3 linked regions of the Ovis aries genome follow. The protein of the gene in region 1 purifies or fractionates together with the protein of each later gene. This does not show direct contact. Links are inferred from orthologs where the notes say so. Each region holds a gene or a part of one and is shown on either strand. Other genes may lie near its edges.

Region 1 (6,415 bases):
TGCCATGAAGTGATGGGACCAGGTGCCATGATCTTAGTTTTTCTGGATGTTGAGTTTTAAGCCAACTTTTTCACTCTCCTCTTTCACTTTCATCAGAGGCTCTTTAGTTCTTCAGTTTCTGCCATAAGGGTGGTGTCATCTGCATATCTGAGGTTATTGATATTTCTCCAAACAATCTTGATTCCAGCTTGTGCTTTATCCAGCCCAGCATTTCTCATGATGTACTCTGCATATAAGTTAAATAAGCATGGTGACAATATACAGCTTTGACATACTCCTTTTCCTTTTCCTAGGAAAAGGAATACAGAGGAGCTCCATAGGTAACAATCCATGGGACTGCGAAAGAGTTGGACAGGACTTAGTGACTAAACAACAACTTATCAGGAAATACTGCAACAGATGAAACTATTTCCAAATTAGTAAACCCTTGTAAATCCTTGTAAATGTCAACTAGGAGTCAATGAACTCCTTCTTTGTACATAAAGGGGGTTAATTTACACCTGAAACTCATTATCCCCAGAGACTGGTTTGGATTGCAAATATAACCATGCTTAAGCAAGGTTGATTTCAGGCTTGTTGGGGAAGCAGGCAGGTTGGGGATGAAGAGTTAAGAGCTATAACCCAGATCAGATGAAGAAAGCAACACCTCACTGTTCGGCCAAGTGCTTCCTCCTTCTTCCTTGGGATCTGCCTGCCTTCCACCTTCCTCCAAGGCTTCTCCTTGCCCCTCCTAATGGCTGTCTCACTCTGAGGCAGGAAAAGAAATCTGGTCGGTGGCTGACTTATGTATGATTCTGAGGGGAGAGCAAGCCTCCAGGCAAATGATACAGACTGTAACCTGAGGGAAAAGTTCACTTAGTTTACAGCCACTTAGCTCCTGGGTGGCCTGGTTGAGGTGCTGGGATCAGCTGAGACTAGTAATGGGTGTTTGAGAATTCCTGCAGGAGGTAACTTGCTGGGGCTGTAAAAGGCGCGGATCCCTAGCCACAGGGCACCTGAGACTAGGAAACATAGGACTTCAGGCTGGATATCCCTCTGGGAATCAGGAGAAAGATCTCAAAGTTCCAGCAGGGGGCGCTCCCCCAGGACCACTTCATAGCCAGTCAAGATGCAGCTCTGCTTTAACCTGGAAAATTATACGGAGGGACTTGGGCTGGGAGGGCCGATCTGGGGATCTGATGATTGGAAGTGGACCAGGAAGCAAGGGCTTAATTCCAGAAATAAGGCAAAGCTGAAGTTCTGAAAAGCAGCAGGAGACAAGAGGACTGGATAATTCGCTCAGTAGACTTTGGGCTACTTAGATACCGGCTCACCGAGTCCCTGAGACTGAGATGGGGCAGAGCCTACAAATGATGCTCAGGTGGTTCCCGTTGCTGGGTGGGCAGTAGGTCGGGAGCAGGAGCTTGCGGGGAGCTTTGCCCAAGGTGCCCTCTCTGGTCCGGAGTCCATTTCCTGTTCTGCATCCACCTCCACGGCTGGAAGGTCTTGACCACCTCCTCACTCCTCTGTTGGACGCATGGTTTTGGACTCTTACTTCAGGAATATCTTCCCACAGATGTCGAGAGATACAGGCCATGGCCCTTCCCCTGACAGTTTAGATAAATCTTGAGTGTTCCCTGATGTGTAGGTCAAGAGCAGCTGGGCGTTTTCTGGAAGCGTTGGCCGTCCCTATTTCTAACAGGCTTACCAGCATTGTCCTAGGATCATTTCCCTCTTGTTCCCAATCTTCATATCCAATGAACGTTTGAGAACAATTATCTCACCTTCTTTGTTTTTTGCCTTGGTCTCCCTCCCCAACCACCACCTCAGAACCCAACTCAAAAATCCCTCTCCTTTTCCTGCGTTTTTCAGATTCATTTTGTGTCTCTGGAGCCTCTGTGCTCTTTCCATGTCCACTTTGAAATCTTGGGTTTTTAACTTCTCTTACCGCCTATAAAATTTACCGCATTTGTTCTTTCAGTCATTTATTCCCTAATAAGTTAGTGAGAGCTCGTTTCACAGCACCGGAGGGCATGATGTAATTACTTCTAACACAGACTCTGAGATCAGAATATACACAGCTAATTAAAGTTTCCCTCTTGAGTCCCAGGTAAGAATTTCCTCTAGCAAATGCTTTTTTTTTTTTTTTTTTTTTTTGAAACATGGACTTAAGAACGCCTGAAATTGTTTAAAATCCTGTACCTTATAAAATAAAGTTCTAATGAGCCTGTCTTTTTTTTTTTTTTTAACAGATCCTTGGTTTGAGTGTGGATAAAGCAGTTATCACAAAATCATCTGAGAAATAAAAGAAATCTTGATTTAACATGAAAACCTTTCCATTCTGTAAGTGAACTCATTTGACCTAGATCTATCCTTTAAAGGGCAAGTGGCTGTAAGAAATTCTAAGGTTGTTCTCAGAATTCTAAGACAATTGGTAAATATTGATATAAAAAGTTGGGTTCATTAGCGACCCCGATTTGATTTTCCTGAAAATTGGCCAGACAGAAAGTTCTCGCTTTTATGCACCTTCATTGTTACTCTCCATAGCAACTGAAAACTTTTCTGGGCTGAAATAATCCTCTCTAGCTCCCAGCGCACAGTCAAGGAATTTTAAAAACAGAGGACTTTGTAACCACGAAATACCCTCCAAGATTTAAAAGGCCACAGAGCTCCAGATAAATAATCATTTATCTTTCTTCTGAAGGTAAGCACTGGGTTTAGAAATGTTTGTATCATCCTCTGTCATTTTTTAAATGCTAACATAAGAATCTTAAACTTGCTCTCTCTTTTTAAACCATAAAAGTAATCCTAGTATTTTTGTTACTACCCCACAGCCATTTTAGCTCATCTCTGAGCCAAGGTCTGCCATGAGATGCTGTTAACATTTTGCATTCCTTAAGCAATCGGTTGAAGAGATTAATATTTTTTTTCCAGAAAGCTGATTGGCTCTCAAGTCGTCCTTTTCACTTCTGTAGTAAGCCCCAAATATGTGGATTTATCATGCTTCACGTGGACTTGAAACTCTCTTGTTTTTCTAAGATAGTTCGTACTTTTAATCAGCTGAAAACTAACCAGTAGTTCTGCACATTACTGTTTTCGTCCTTTCCTTTTTGAAAATCTTCTAACTCAGTGTGATATCTGTAATGTATTCAATTTATTTTCTGTTTACTTTTATTGACTTACTTTACTAAAGAGGCCCATAGATCAATGGGTTAAAATGAGGCTGTTTCCTGTTGGAGGTGTGGAGAGATAAAGAGTTTGGGATTAACATATATACACTACTGTACATACCGTAGGTAAACAACAAGAATTCCTACTATATAGCATAGGAAACTATAGTCAATATCTTATAATAACCTAAAATAAGAATCTGAAAAAATGTATATGTATAACTGACTCGCTTCCCTGTACACTTGCAACTAATACAGCGTTGTAAATCACCTATACCTCAATTTAAAAATGGAGAGTGTTTCCTGCTCTTTTTAAAAAATTGAAGTATAGTTGCTATGCAATGTGTTAGTTTCTGCTTTACAACAAAGTGAATCAGCTGTAAGTATAGATATATTCCCTTCCCTCTTGAGCCTCCTTCCCTCAGCCCGCTTCCCCACCCACCCATCTAGATCATCACAGAGCACTGAGCTGAGCTCTGTGTGCTATATCACAGCTTCCCACTAGTTATCTTTTCATACATCTGGGTTTTATGACTTGTAGCACCGTTAGGACAGACAGTGAAGTGTATTCTTCCTATCTTTTGACTCTCTGTGTAGTTCCCAGAGAAGCAATATAACTCACTTCTTGGCTGTTGAACGGGTTGAAAGTCTAAACCCACCATAGTTTCCTGCCAGTGGGGGTTAGGAACAACCTACAGATCCCCTGTTGTTTAGAAACAGCTTGTCATTGCCAATCTGCTTAGCCACCCAGTTAATGAATCTTTTCAAACCTCTTGCAAGCACAATAATTAAAGCCTTCATTTTCCCCCTTTCCACTGACATTCCTCCAGCTACAAGTTGACACCGTGAACACCAACCCATCCTCCTCCATCAAAGCAGACTTGGGGTAGAGGAAGAGTGGAAATGTGCTTCTGGACAAAGCCTTCTGTATCCTGGGTGCCCTTGTTCCTTCTACTCAGCCTTGATCCCTCTACTGAGACGGAAAAACCCTCTACTCCGGACAGCAGCAGTACTTGGAGTCCAGGGCGGCTGACAGAAGTTCTACGGGTTCTCTCTGCTGATGACCCCCGTCCCCTGAACCACTCAAGAAGCCTCATCAGAACATTGCTGGAGAAAACTGGGTGCCCACGGAGGACAGACGGAAGGCAAGGAGACTGCAATCTGGTTAGTGTGATAGAATGGGATCAGGGACTGAGCGTGTTCACAAGAGCCATGCATTTCCCAGGCACTTATTTCAAGAAAGCAAAATCAGACGCAAACCTTCCAATATCTGAGTGACCAATGCATTACGGTATAATAACTCCCATATACCAGATCATACAGTATTCTGCATATGGCATTTAAAGACATGGAGAGCTTGTTTATATTAAAATGATAATAAGCCTTCTATAAGCCTTGCTACAACCCTTCTGCAGGCTTAGAAGTATAGTTCCCTCTTCTTTCTGACTTAATCCTTTTTATTGCAGTCACCTTGAATGTGATTGGTTATATAGATGCTGCTTGTTTTCTGAGGTAAATCCATCCACTATTTGCCTAACATTGCATTTTTAAGTACTTTCTCCTCAATATCAGTAGGTGTGTTTTAAGATTTTATATCATGGGGATTTAATGAATTGGATGATTGTCTTCTTAAAAATGGGAATCTGAGCTGGGGAAGGGAAGTGCTATCAGCGGGGCTGAAATGAGATCCAGGGTCACAGAGGCCCATTTTCCAGCCATTTCCTAGTCTATTAAGTGACTCTCAAACCCTGGCTATCCATCAGCATCACCTGGCCAGGCTTCACAAAATACCCAGGTTGCAATTTTCTTCTCCAAACATCAATATTTCACTTGCCCAGGAATGTTTAAAAACAATCTCTGCAAGGCACATTAATGTAAAATCAGAATTAATGTAAAAATCAACATTTAATGTAAAATCAGAATGCCTCCATTGGGAGAAAGGGAGTTTGACAAGAACATCCCCAGCAGTAAGAGCCTATGTTTTAAAAATGACCGCAGGGATTTCTCTGGTGGTCCAGTAGCTAAGAATCCGAGTTCCCAATGCAGGGGGCCTGGGTTTGACCCCTGGTCAGGGAACTAGATCCCACATGCCTCAACTCTTTGCTGCAACTAAAGATCCTGCATGCCACCACTATAGACCCAGCACAGCCAAATAAATAAAACATTTTTTTAAAAAAAGACTGCAAAAAGCAGACCAAAGCATTCGCAGCATCCTTTTCCTGACTGATTAGATTTTTTTCAGAATGACCTCACAAATAAGTAAGTAAATAAATGAAGACATGACTAAACAAGAGAAGCAAAATCATTTCCACCCAGAATAAGTTTTGGCAGATTTTCTCAATCACACTTAGTTCTGAGGGAAACATTTCCTGGCCAAGTGTTTTGTTTTTTGTTTTTCATGACAGAAGGGTCTGGCTAACAGAATTTTTCTCTGCTCTGTGCAAACAATAAATAATTCAATAATTAGTAAAACTCCCAAGGGTTCCCAGAGAAAACATGTGTTGTGAGAGGCAGCTCATCTGTGATGACATTAATTTATATATATAGCAACAGAAGACTTCCCACCGGAAATAACTAGGAGTCATATCTTATTAATGTCCTCTGAGAATTTGCTTCAGAGAAATGTTCTCCTCTAACAACATGAAGTGCCTTATTAAGGCTGGTCGAGTATTAGTTTAGCAGGGTAAGGGGAGGATGTAAACAGGCAAGACTGTTCTCCATTTTTGGAGGGGGGTGGAATAGGTTGTTTTGTACATTTTTGTTTTGTTTTGTTTTCTGTGATATTAACAGGTGTTTGGCCAATTTAGCTTCTGTTTGAATTAATTCTTATTCCTAGGAAGTGAAACACTGTAACACCTTTCCTCTCCTGCTGCTGCTATTTCTTTTTCTAAGAGACTAAAGTTGGGGGAAGAAAAGAGGCAAATCTCTGCTTCACCTCCTCAGAAGGATCTAGTTTACCCAAACACCCATGATCTAAGCAAGGAGTCCATGAAATCTGTGTTCATTCACACACATAAAAAAAACAAACTCCCTGATTTAGCAAATATCCACATTCTGTGCAAATCACAAATCTTCATCTTGTTATTGAATTTTTTTTTTTAATCTTTTTAGGGAGTTTATCCATTGAGAGGGTGCCTATCAGAAGGAGAGGGCAAGGGGATGAGATCATGTCCTTAAATGTCTAAAAAAAGAGATCAGAGTGTATCTTGAATGTGTGGGGAGGAAATCAGTTCCATTTTATTTCAGATCTTGGTAAAAACTGAATT
Region 2 (6,426 bases), about 11 Mb from region 1:
GAAGAAGATTATAAAATAATAAAAGGATCAATTCACCAAGAAGATATAACAATTATAAATATGCACATACCAAATAGCAGAGCTCCTAAAACTAGGAAGCAAACACTGACAGAACTGAAGAGAGAAACAGATAACAGGATAATAACAGGAGACTTCAATATTCCACTTTCAAGAATGGATAGAACAAACAACACTAGATCAACTGGACCTGACAGACATATAATGAACACTCCACCCAACAATATATAATCTTTGCGAGTACACACAGAACATTCTCCAGGATAGATCCCATGCAAGGCCACGAAAGAAGTCTTAACACATTTTAAAAGACTGAAATTATAGAAAGTATGTTTTTCAATCAGTAAGAATGAAACAAGAAATCAGTAGTGGAAAGAAAGCTGGAAAACTCACAAATATGTGAAAATTAAAAACAAAAACATTTTTTAAAGCAACCAATGAGTCAAAAGGAAATCACAAAGAAATTAGAAAATACCTTGAGACAAATAAAAATACAGATACCAAAATATATGGGATGAAATGCAAGCAATGCTAACCAGTTAATAGCTATAAACACTTACATTAAAAAATAAGAAAGATCACAGCAACTTCCCTGGTGGTCCAGTGGCTAAGACTCCAAGCTTTCAATGAAGGGGGCCAAGGTTCAATCCCTGGTCAGGGAGCTAGATCCCATGTGCTGCAACTAAGACTCTGTGCAGCCAAATCATAAATAAATAAACTTATTTTTAAAAAATAAGAAATATCACACATCAGCAAGCTAACTTTACACCTAAAAGAACTAGAAAAAGAACAAACTAAACCCAAAGCTAGCAGGAAGGAGGAAATAATAAAGACTATCAAGCAGAAATAAATGAAATAGAAAATTTTAAAAATGTGGAAAAATTAATAAAACTAAAAATTTTATTTTTTAAAAACAAAATTGACAACTCTTAGATATATAGTGGAAAAAGGGAAGATCTGAATAACTAAAATCAGAAATGAAAAGGAAACGTTACAACTGATGTCACAGAAATAAGAACGGTTGTAAGAATACTTCAAACAACTGAAGGCCAATCAAACGGATAACCTAGAAGAAATGCATAAATCCTTAGGAACACACAACCTACCAAGACTGAATCATGGAGATACAGAAAATCGGAACAGACCAATAATGAGTAAGGAGACTGAATCAGTCATCAAAAGCCTCCCCAAAAGGAACAGTCCAGAAACATATTGCTTCACTGAAAAAGTTTACTGAACATTTAAAGAACTAGTATCAATCCCCCTATAACTCTTCAAAAAAAAACTGAAGACGAGGGCACACTTCCAGACTTATTCTGAAGCCAGCATAACCTTATACTGAAGCCAGACAAAGACACCACAAGAAATAAAATGAGAGCTGTAACAAGGTCATTGAAAGTGAGAGTCATTTCCTAGGCAGGTTGATAGGAAGTCTAGGGGTCCCCAAGGAGAGAGGGGTCTGGAATTCTCAAGGAGGAAGAAAGGACAAACTTTTTTTCCTTCTCTACATTCTTTAGGATTATATAACAACAATGTATTCTGCCTGAGGACAGTCTCTGGATTAAATCTTCTGGCTAATTCTGTTATCTTAAAATGTAAATTATGGGAGTAGGTCTGGTGAGGTGTTTACAACCTTCAGACATTCTTTGGATTCATTGGAAAGTATCTAACTTCATTGCTAACACTAACAAGCGGGTACTCTTTCTGCCCCCTTCTGATGTCTATGTCAGAAGCTTTCTCTATCTCCTTTATACTTTAAAAAGAGTACTGTTCTAACATTTCAGGAGGTAAAGATAAGCTGAGATACGTTCCCAAAATCTTCTCAAGCAGAGTGGAGGGAACCCTCACGCATCCCCGTTCCCATCAGAGATCTAAATTAAGTGGGTAAATTTACTGACCCAAAACAAAGTTCACAACTAAAAACAGAACAATATTTCTGTGAATGTAGGAGACAAGACCCCAAGCAAAGAATGGAGCAAGCGCGATGTGAAATTTCCTCCAAAATGTGTTGGGTTTGGAAGAGAAATGTACTGAGCCTTGACATACCCATCTTGCCCTCAATCTTTAAGGTTTTAAACTTCAATACATTTGAAGAATAGGTTAAATTCTTCACCTCTGGCTTATTGCCAATGGCCGGTCTAAGGGACATACAAGTTAAGCAGAACATTCTCACAACCTTTAGGCATGAGAACCTGGTAAGTATAATGTGAACCTGGTAAGTATAACGACAAAGGGAAAAACAGGCTGTGGGCTAATAGTACTGGGAAATCCCTTCTGAGGGCACGGGGCTGCCCTCTGTGTCATCCTCAGAAGGTACTCCTGAGACTACACACAATACTCATTCAGTAATCACCTCTTATTAATATATGTAAAATATTGGGCCTCCCAGGTGGTCTGCCTGCCAATGCAGGAGACAGAAGAGATGCGGGTTTGATCCCTGGGTGGGGATCCCCTGGTGGAGGGCATGGTAACCCACTCGTGTTCTTACCTGGAGATTCCCATGGACAGAGGAGCCTGATGAGCTATAGTCTTTAGGGTCGCAAAGAGTCGGACAGGACTGAAGCAACTTAACAACAAAATATCGTGAGATCCAATAGAGAATGCACAAACAGGACAACCAGCCCTCCAGCTATGCTCTAATAGCTCAAATGAAGGAGGAAACCTCTCTAAGACCACACCTAGAACGTGACAGGCGTGAAAGTCATTCAGTAGTGTCCGACTCTTTGAGACCCCATGGACTACACAGTCCGTGTAATTCTCCAGGCCAGAATACTGGAGCCGGTAGCCTTTCTCTTCTCCAGGGGATCTTCCCAACCCAGGGATTGAACCCAGGTCTCCCGTATTGCAGGCTGATTCTTTACCAGCTGAGCCACAAGGGAAGCCCAAGAATACTGGAGTGGGTAGCCTATCCCTTCTCCAGGGGATCTTCCCAACCCAGGGATCAAGCCGGGGTCTCCTGGATTACAGGCAGATTCTTTACCAACTGAGCTATGAGGGAAGCCCACAGAGGTATAAATCGCTATAGCGGTACAAGGAAGAGAGACAGGGTCACGTCCGCGGGATGGAGCAGAGGAGAGGTGAGACGTCCACAGAGACATGAGGGGGCCCTTTGAGCTGGTTGGACGTGGGGTGCATATCAGACCAAGCTAAGGAAGGTATCACACGGTCCACAGCCTGGAGGCAGCACATCGTTTGCTGCGGACAGAATACAGGGATGGATGGGAAAATCAACAACACGCTGAGACGCGCACAGAAAGGTCTCAGATGCTTCCAGGGGTTGGGATCTGATTCTGGAGGACAACGGGACAAGAACATTTCTGAGGAAATATTTTCTGAGGGAAATTTCTGAGGAAAGGTCACCGTCAGGAGCACGCGTTAAGCGAGGCGGCGCCGGGCACTTTTAGAGAGAACTTCAGAGAACAGGAGCGCGCTCCGGACCAGCGGATCACTGACGACCCTCCTCCAGAGAGGCACACACGCTCAGGTTCCGGGACAGTGCTTCCACCCGCAGGAAGGCAAAAATGTGAGCGGGCTGCGGGTGCGGCTCGGGGCAGGGCCCCAAGGAGCCCGCAGGGAGAGCTAGGAACGATGTCCGGACCAATGTCCTCCACTTTCTGGTCCGGAGCTCCAGGCTGCGCGCAGCGCCGCCGCAAACCGTCCTCCGCTTCGGGCCGCGCTTCCCCGGGCCGTGGGCACAACAGGCGTCCCCGAGAAGAGCAAGCCCCTGAGTAGTCCGCAGACAGTCTTCACCAGCTCCGCCTCCGCCGCCACCGCCGCAGCCGGCAGGAGAAGAGCCCGCCGGCGACACTGATAGAACGCATCCCCGGAAAATCATAGCGCGCATTCGGAGGGGTCGACTCCAGCGGCCAATCGGAATGCGCACCCTCACTCTCCCCTTACCCCGCTAGCGGGCCTCTTCTAGTCAGAGCTTCCGCTAGCGCGGAAGAGGCGAGCAGAAACTTTCCCAGAGTTCCTCGAGGCTCTGGGACCGGCGGAGGGGCCGCGGCCGGCGGGGGTGGGCGGGGTCGAGGTTGTGGGCGGAGTTGCCTGCAGGGGGCGGGATCGTGGGCGGGGACGCGCGGGTCCCACCCCGTCCCGGAAGGGCCGGAGTCGCGTGTGACCCGGGCCTTCGGCGGCAGTCCAGAGGGTTCGCCCCAAAATGAAACCAGCGCGGGCGGCGGCGTCCGCGGCGGCTTGCGGGGCGCGTGGTCAGCCAGAGACCTGAGAGTCTTGGGGGCTGGGTGCATCCGGAAGAGGGTCCCCGGGGGCTAGAGGGTCCCAGGGGAGGATCTCGAAGGCGGGCCCCGGCGGAGGCGGGGCGGGCCCGGAGGAGGGTCCTGGGCTGTCCTCGGCGAGCCTGAGCCTGCGGCCATGGCCGGGCCCGCTGACCCGCGGCGGCTGTTCCGGCTGGTGCAGGACGGCCGGCTGTGCACCCTGCGCAGGGAGCTGCGGGCGGCTGGGCACGCGGGCTGCGCGGGGCCGGCCGGGGACACCCTCCTGCACTGCGCCGCCCGCCACGGCCGCCGGGACGTCTTGGCCTATCTGGTCGAGACCTGGGACCTGGACATCGAAGCCGCCAACCGGGACTACAAGCGGCCTCTGCATGAGGCTGCCTCCATGGGCCACCGGGACTGCGTGCGGTACCTGCTGGGCCGGGGGGCCGCGGTCGACTGCCTGAAGAAGGCCGACTGGTAAGTGGTGGGCCTTGCAGAGGGCCCCCACCCCTCCCCGCTGATGGCAGATTCCCACTCTTGGTCGGCCTCCACACCGTAGCCGGTCAGCCTTCCCCTACAGAGCAGAGCATCGTTGCTGCCCTTGTGAGGTTAACTGTTGCAGCCTCCTGTTCCAGACTGCCTCCCGTGATAGAGCAGAGAGCAGTAAGGAGCATGCTGAGATAGAACAGACTCAAACTACGACTTGCCTGTAGGTACTGCGTGTTGCATGGGCCCCAGACGGGATGTTCTGGAAACATGTAGCTAAATGATTACTGCACCCATGACACTTTTTAACTTTCCGTTTTGAAATTCCTAGTTATAGCTTCTCAGAAATTTCCAAAGACAAGTGGGGAGTCCCATGCACCCTCCCCCAGTCTTGCCCCAAAGTTAACATCTTACAGGGGGTGTACAGTAATAAAAAGAAGAAACTGACATTGCTACAATCAGGACACTTACTCAGATTTCACAGTTATACAGGTGAGCACAGGTAAGTATGTGGCTTGCTCTGTGTGGTTTATCACATGACCACCTCCACAGGCACAGTGCTCACCTTTAGTCCATCAGTTCAGTTCAGTCCCTCAGTCATGTCTGACTCTTTGGGACCCCATGGACACACCAGGCTTCCCTGTCCGTCACCAACTCCCAAAGCTTGCTCAAACTCACACCCATTGAGTTGGTGATGCCATCCAATCATCTCAGCCTCTGTCGTCCCCTTCTCCTCCTGCCTTCAGTCTTTCCCAGCATCAGGGTCTTTTCCAATGAGTCAGTTCTTCACATCAGGTGGCCAAAGTTTTGGAGTTTCAGCTTCAGCATCAGTCCTTCCAATGAATATTCAGGACTGATTTCCTTTAGGATTGACTGGTTTGATCTTCTTGCAGTCCAAGGGACTGTCAAGAGTTCTCCAACACCACACCTGTAACCATCACACGAAGCAATTGCATTCTGTTAATAGATCCACATGGTTTTCAGTCCTCACTATGTCTGTCCATTTGCTTAGAGGTTTGAACACCTGAAGGTTCATAACATAATGAAATTCCTGAATGAATCCACAAGGAATCCCTGATTTTATATAAAAAAGAATTGCATCAGACAGCCATATAGCTTAATAAAGTACATCTTGCCCACTGGCGTGGGGGAATAGGCCTCCTTATAGGAGTTTTGAGGTTTGCGCTTTGGCTGTGACTAAGCACAAGACATTTTCTTCTGCTGCTAGTAAGTTGGTCTAAAGATAGTGGAGGCATATTACCTCTTTTAAAACAGTTCTGTGGAAAAAGAATAGCAAGGAGAGATAAGAAAGCCTTCCTCAGCGATCAATGCAAAGAAATAGAAGAAAATGATAGAATGGGAAAGACTAGAGATCTCTGAACTGAACTGAACTGTGGATAAAGAAACAGCCTCCCCAAACAACTATCACAAGGGCAAGTTTCATTTGACTGTGGGCTCAGGAAGTGCAGTTACAAAGAGACATTTTTGACTGTTCTCACCTTGCTGGCTTTCGCAAGTCCCTTCTTCCCTGGAGTCATTCCCTCTACGAAGCCCCTTCTTTAGGATTCCAGCCTTCATTCATCCAAGTTTCTCCCTCTTGATTTTTCATTCGCTCTCATTACTACATTACAGAAATAAAAAACCGAAACATTTTAAATATACCAGTGTGTACATGACCATCTCAAATGCCCTAGCTGTCCCAATAAGG
Region 3 (6,183 bases), on another chromosome or scaffold:
CTCCAACCTGCTGCTGCACCAGCGCACGCACTCGGCCGAGCGGCCCTTCACCTGCCCGGTCTGCGGCCGCAGCTTCGTCATGGCTGCCTACCTGCAGCGGCACCTGAGGACGCATGCCCCCGCGGCCCCCGCGGCCGGCCCTCAGCCCCCGGCCCCGCTGGCCGCCGCCCCTGCCCCGTCGGCCACCCAGGATGTGCACGTCCTCCCCCACCTCCAGGCCACGCTCTCCCTAGAGGTGGCTGGGGGGACGGCCCCGGCCGCGGCCCCCGGCCCCGCCGCTCCCAACTCGCAGACTTTTCTCCTGGTGCAGACGGCTCAGGGCCTGCAGCTGATTCCCAGCAGCGTCCAGCCGCCCACGCCCCCGCCCCCGCCAGCACCCCCCAAGCTCATCCTGCTGCCCTCCTCCGGCCCCGCCGGGGGAGGCAGCTGCGCCCGGCAAGGCCCGCGGGCCGCGGGGAAAGCTGGGCCGGGGGCTGGAGTAGTCTGGCTGCCGGGCCCTGGGGGGTTAGGAGTGCAGAGAGGAAGCAACGCTGCGGGGAACGTGGGAGGGCAGAGCCTCATAGTTCTGCAGAACGTGGCGGGTGGGGAAACAGGCCCACAGGAAGTGAGTGGGGTTCAGCTCCAGCCCCTTCGTCCAGCCCCGGAACTGACCACCGTCCAACTCCAGCCGGCCCAGGAGGTGACCACGGTCCAGCTCCAGCCTGTGACGGGTCCGCTGTCCAGTTCCAGCGGGGGAGCCGTGACCACCGAGGCGCCTAATCTGCTAGTGGTTCAGAGCGGGGCAGCTGAGGAGTTACTGGCGGACCCCGGCCCAGTGGAGCCTGGCGAGGGCGAGGCCGGCCCGGGGGTAGTCCCAGATGTGCTCTTTGAGACGCTGCAGACGGAGGAGGGACTGCAGAGCGTGCTGGTGCTGAGCGGGGCCGACGGGGAGCAGACCCAGCTGTGTGTGCAGGAGGTAGAGACCTTACCGTCGGGTCTGGCCGAGCCGCCCGCCTCAGGCCCGCCCGGACAGAAGCTGCTCATTATCCGCAGCGCCCCAGCCGCAGAGTTGCTGGAGAACGGCAGCGCTGGGGGAGGCGCCGCTGCGCTGCAGCTACTGGCGCCCCCCCCACCTGGCCCAGCCTCTGCTCCTGCGGGCGTCCCTGCGGCCCCGGGCCCCCAGATGGTACAAGTGGTCCCCGCAGGAGCGGCACCCGGGGGCGTGGCCCCACAGGGCCTGCCTTCCATCCAGATTGTCCAGACTCTGCCCGCGGTCCAGCTGGTGCACACGTTTTGAGTCGGACCACGGGTATCTCTTCCCGCCCCACGAAGAGGCCCCCACCCCATCGCCGCCTGGGCTGGGCTGGGCGGAGGGAGCTGCAGGCTGGGCTTGCAAATAAAGACCAGAATCCCCTCTCGTGTTTTTTCTTCTTATTGATGGGGTGGGAGGTCAATGTCATGCCCATAGCCACCACTTGGGAACTGGTGGGGTCCCCTGCTTCCTGGTTCGCAGGTGACTTTGCGTCTTGGGGCCAGCCGCTGCTCCTTTGTGGGGGCCCTGTTTATCCATTTTTTAAGAAAAGGGACGCAACAGTCACGGTATGGGGGAGGCGCTGGAATCTGGAACCCCGGTTCTGCCACTTCCTCTGTAAGTCACTGCACCCCTCCTCGTGCAGAAAAATAGGTGGATGGCGGGACTGCTTATCCCAACGGTCACTGAGAGCCCTGGTGGGCAGGTGGGGAACCTGTGGGTCTGAGACGCTGTCGCGGCCCCGCCCGCGAAAGCCGGGGAGCCAGTGGGAATCAAGCCGCCTTCGCGGCCTCACCCCCGCGCTCAGGTCGCTTAGCAACCAGAGGCCTTCGGGAAGCCGGCCGGGGCGCGCGCTGGGTAAGCCCCGCTGCCCGCCCACAGCCGGTCTATAGTTCCAGGCCCTTCAGTCCGGCCCCCTCCCCTGCCAGCGTCCCGCACGCCAGCTCTCTCCGCCGCTCCTCCCGGCTCTAACCCGTCAGGCCGGACGCTTGGCAACGGTTGCTAAGGCCGAGAGCAGGCACCGCCCCGCTCCCAGCGCGCGGGTCTGACGTCACTTCCGCCGGCGACCCCTCCCCGACCCTGCCACCCCCCGCATCTTGTTAAAAGCCGGAGCGACCCACAGAGGTGTCTGAAAGTCCTCGTTCCTGCCACAGGCGCCGCTCGGGGGCGGCCGGGGGCAGAGGCCCTGGGAGCGGGGAGCGCGGTCCTTTCCCTGGCTGGGGGGGGTTCACTTACCCCCAGGGCAGCTGCGGGGCCTGGAGGCAGCGCGCTGTTGGCAGGTGTTGGCGGGCACCAGGCTTTTAGGCGTGGGTCGCCGAATACCGCCTGGGGCGAGGGCTTCACCCGAGAGGCTTTCGGAAGGTCGCTGGGTTGACCGGGAAGCCTGTTCTGTCTCGGGCCTCGCCTGGAGGCCGCCAGCATCCCGCTTCCTGACCTGGACACGCTGCCGCTGCTGGCCCGCAGCTCTGGGGCACTTTGGGGAACAAGAGGTGCCCTCCTGACACTGACCTGCTTGTTTTCGCCAGGTGCACGCCTGCTCCTTTGGGGGCGCGGGAGCCTGGGGGCTGCCATGGCCCCCAGCCACCTGTCGGTGCGGGAGATGAGGGAAGATGAAAAACCCTTAGTGCTGGAAATGCTGAAGGTGAGAGTCATTAGCAGCGCCACTGAGCCCGGGGGCGTGGGACGGAGGGTACCACTTGGGGGTGGGGGGCGGGAACCTAGAAAGCCCGGGAGGGGCGGGGACAGAATGGGGACACCAATGAGCTTGGGAGGGCGGGGACAGAATGAGGGGCACCAGGGAGCCCGGGAGGGGGCGGGGGGGCATCCCGAGTGGCTTCAGCCACCCTCCTGAGCCAGCGGTGACCCTGGAAATCAATCTTTTGCTCCTAAGGCACTTCCAGCCTTGGACCCTCCTCTTTCTAGTGCCTTCTCCCTAACCTGGAGATTGAGAACGGTTTTGGGTGTGTGTGTGTGGCCACGCCACATGGTACGCGGGATGGTAGTGCTCCCCGATCATGGATCCAAGCCGTAACCCGCGCAGTACAAGCCCTTCCATCTCCTCACTTCCCCTCAGCCCTGTGCCCCGGCCTCCTCCTCCTCCAAGCCTGGCCCTCGAGGACCCCCAGGCCCTTCCAGCTTCCCCGCTCGGTGGGGCCGCGCCTCTGTCCAGTCTCCCCTGTTGCCTCACGCCTGCAACTCCACTGAACCCGGAGCGCCCACCGTTCCTAATTCACCAGCTCCCTCATTCAGAGCCCAGTGTGCCAGCCAGCAGTGTGTTCACGCCACGGCAAGCTTGCCACAGGCCCCGGCTCACTGCTGTCCCCTCCCCTCCGATTGCTCCCACCCCAGGCAGGGCCTGCCTCCGCCCCCACTGCCTGCCTCCCCCACGCTGACTGCTCCTCCTGCCCGCAGGCTGGCGTGAAGGACACAGAGAACCGCGTGGCCCTTCATGCACTGACCCGGCCGCCGGCCCTGCTCCTCCTGGCTGCGGCCAGCAGCGGCCTTCGCTTCGTCCTGGCCTCCTTCGCCCTGGCCCTCCTCCTGCCCGTGTTCCTGGCTGTGGCGGCCATGAAGCTGGGCCTGCGGGCCCGCTGGGGCTCGCTGCCCCCGCCCGGCGGCCTCGGGGGGCCGTGGGTGGCAGTCCGGGGCTCGGGGGACGTGTGTGGGGTCCTGGCCCTGGCCCCAGGCACCGGTGCTGGGGATGGGGCCCGGGTCACCCGCCTCTCGGTATCCCGTTGGCACCGCCGCCGAGGCGTAGGCAGGCGCCTGCTGGCCTTTGCCGAGTCCCGGGCGCGAGCCTGGGCTGGCGGCATGGGGGAACCCCGGGCGCGCCTGGTGGTCCCGGTGGCCGTGGCAGCCTGGGGCGTGGCCGGGATGCTGGAGGGCTGTGGCTACCAGGCCGAGCGGAGCTGGGGCTGCATGGGCTACACGCTGGTGCGCGAGTTCAGCAAGGAACTGTGACTGCAGACCCTAGCAGGAGGAAAAGCAGCACTTAGTGAGCACCTGCTGTGTGCAGGCACTTCCACACCATCCTTACCCCCCCCCCCCCCCGCCAGGGCCCAGCAGCTGAGGCCCGCAGAGGGCAAGAGACCCTGCCACAGCCTGATGCCCATCCATAGTGTTTGAACTTCTTAGAGAGTTCAACCCGTCCAACCCCTGCCTCAGATTCTGTCTGCGCAGAGAAATCTTATCTGTCTGTCTGCCAAGCCTGTGTTGCTTGTGCTATGACATGTGGCAGGAGAGGAGGCCGAGCAAGTACGCCCCCCACTGGGGTTAGGACTTGGCAGGGGTACCCCAAACAGGGACGAGGGCCCCCCTCAGCCCCGGGGAGGTAGGGTGGGGGGCGATGCCCATGCTTGGAAGGGGTGAGGCTGCAGAGGCAGAGAGGGGCTGAGCAAAGCTTCTGCAGGGGAGTGTTGTCTGCCTGGAGAGAGCCCCGGGGAGGGGGTGGTGGGCACAGGGCTGCCTGCCCAGCCCCTCCCCAGGAAGGTGGGAGCCCAGAGGGGCGGCCAGACCCATCTGGTTTTTTACACCCGTTTGTTAATAAAGCCTGTAACCGCTGCTCGCCATCTCTCTCTGATGCCTTTTCCAGTCTGCCTCCACACCCACCATTTCTGTCTGGCCCCTCCTTCCCGAGGTTGACAGTAATTGTCGGGAGGGGGGAGTGTGCTGGACTGGGGGCAGGGGAGGCGATGAGCTCAGGCAGCCCAGCTCCCTGCCAGCCCTCTGACTCACGCTCCCCATTACCGAATTTTTTCCGCCTCACAGCTGCTTAGTGCAGAGAGAGAGAGAGAAAGAGTACGTTCCTGTGCGTGTGTGTGTGTGTTGTGTGTGTGTGTGTGTGTGTGTGCAGTCGTCCTCCCCCACCCAAGTCTTGACCCTTGGCCCTCTCGACCCCTGACCCCAGTTTTCTTGGGAGACACACAGAGGGCTGATGACTTCTGCCTGCAAATCCACCAGGGGGAATGGAGAAGGGAGTCTCTCTGTCTCCTTTCCCAGTCCAGGAAGTCCTTCCTGGTGTCTGCCTGCAAGCCCTCTTGCTGCACCAGGTCCCCAACCCGGCAGCTGATGTGAGCCCACCCTCAAAGCCCTCTGCTTCCGGCACACCACCCTGGCGGGACAGGAGAAGCAGCAGATGGGTGGGCGCCCCGCCCTCGCACCCTGTCAGGATCCTCCCCTGCAGCCTGCTGCCCCCCAAGCCTGAGTGCGGCACTTCTGGCCAGCCGGCTGTCTCCTGTGTGGGTGTCTGCAGTTGGACACCCTCCCTCCCGCCCTCCACCGCCCTCCTCCACAGGCCTCAGCCGCCGGCCAGCCCCCTCCCCGCCCCGCTCCTGTCCCCTGCTGCCTCCTCGGCAGCCTCTCTTCCTCCTGCAGAGCGTCCAGCCCCCGCCCGCTCCTCCCCGGGTCCAGGGCTCCTCTGGCAGGCGCTCCCCTCCCTCCTGCGTCGGCGGTCCCCTCCTCCTAGCTCCTGCTCCCGTCCACTTCCACCCTGTCCCCACCCTGACTCTGCAAACATGAGGGTCCTGGCCTGCCTCCTCGGTGAGTGACCCTTCCCCTCCTCCGGGACTCAGGGTCCCCGGGCCGGGCCCTCTGACCCCTGAGCTGACCCACTGCAGAGCCTCTGAGTTCCAGGGCCCCGTCCCTGTTGCTTGGTGGGGGGGATGTGGGGGAGCACAGGACATCTGGCTGCCTCTGACTGATCCTCCAGGGACCTGGCCTCAGGCACCCTGAGTCCCACCTTCTCAGGAGACCCCAGGACTTCCTCTCCCCTCCATGAGCCCTGACCCTGCAGAGGGGGTTCACCCATCATTCACCTTTAGCCAGGCCCCCAGTGGGGAGAGCCAAGGGCCTGGCCCCCTGCCCAGACCTGAGGCCTCCGGGCTCCACCCATCCCAAGGACCTGGGCCTCGGCCAGGCGCTGGGCCCAAGTCCTCCTTCCCGGCGGCGGGGTTTCTGGTTCAGAGGAGCGAGGACCTCACTGCCTCACCCCTCCAACCTCCCTTCCAGTGGCTTTGATGGGGACCCAGGCTGTTGGTAAGTGGCCCCAAACACGTCTCCCATCTGGGTGCGCTCAGCTCCAAGCCTTCCCCACGCCCGGCCTGGGCTCACCCTCCCTTGGACCCTGGCCACCCTCGTGTGCCCACGACCCCCACACCACTTCTGCAGGACCACAC

What was found.
Region 2: the proteins of SLC39A12 (region 1) and ABHD12 purify together in Homo sapiens (co-immunoprecipitation; 3 studies listed by BioGRID and IntAct, counting the BioPlex papers as one, with this or other methods). This does not show direct contact. The link is inferred for Ovis aries from reciprocal best matches to the Homo sapiens genes SLC39A12 and ABHD12.
Region 3: the proteins of SLC39A12 (region 1) and NAT14 purify together in Homo sapiens (co-immunoprecipitation; 3 studies listed by BioGRID and IntAct, counting the BioPlex papers as one, with this or other methods). This does not show direct contact. The link is inferred for Ovis aries from reciprocal best matches to the Homo sapiens genes SLC39A12 and NAT14.

Annotation. Positions count from the first base shown.
Region 1 is NC_056066.1:31,767,566-31,773,980, forward strand, and holds the start of SLC39A12 (zinc transporter ZIP12), read left to right. Parts: upstream 1-2,591; 5' UTR 2,592-2,683; intron 2,684-3,979; 5' UTR 3,980-4,052; coding exon 4,053-4,313; intron 4,314-6,415. UniProt on the Homo sapiens protein: Uniporter that promotes Zn(2+) import from the extracellular space to the cytoplasm across the cell membrane. The transport activity is temperature dependent. May play a role in neurulation and neurite extension.
Region 2 is NC_056066.1:42,427,021-42,433,446, forward strand, and holds the start of ABHD12 (lysophosphatidylserine lipase ABHD12), read right to left. Parts: upstream 3,799-6,426; 5' UTR 1-3,798. Other genes in the region: ANKRD16 (ankyrin repeat domain-containing protein 16), read left to right, coding at 4,390-4,709.
Region 3 is NC_056067.1:62,802,987-62,809,169, reverse strand, and holds NAT14 (probable N-acetyltransferase 14), read left to right. Parts: upstream 1-2,062; 5' UTR 2,063-2,134; intron 2,135-2,535; 5' UTR 2,536-2,579; coding exon 2,580-2,651; intron 2,652-2,900; coding exon 2,901-2,996; intron 2,997-3,421; coding exon 3,422-3,970; 3' UTR 3,971-4,570; downstream 4,571-6,183. Other genes in the region: ZNF628 (zinc finger protein 628), read left to right, coding at 1-1,276; soluble scavenger receptor cysteine-rich domain-containing protein SSC5D, read left to right, coding at 5,524-5,548, 6,017-6,043. UniProt on the Homo sapiens protein: Probable acetyltransferase. May act as a transcription factor that regulates the expression of coproporphyrinogen oxidase by binding to a promoter regulatory element.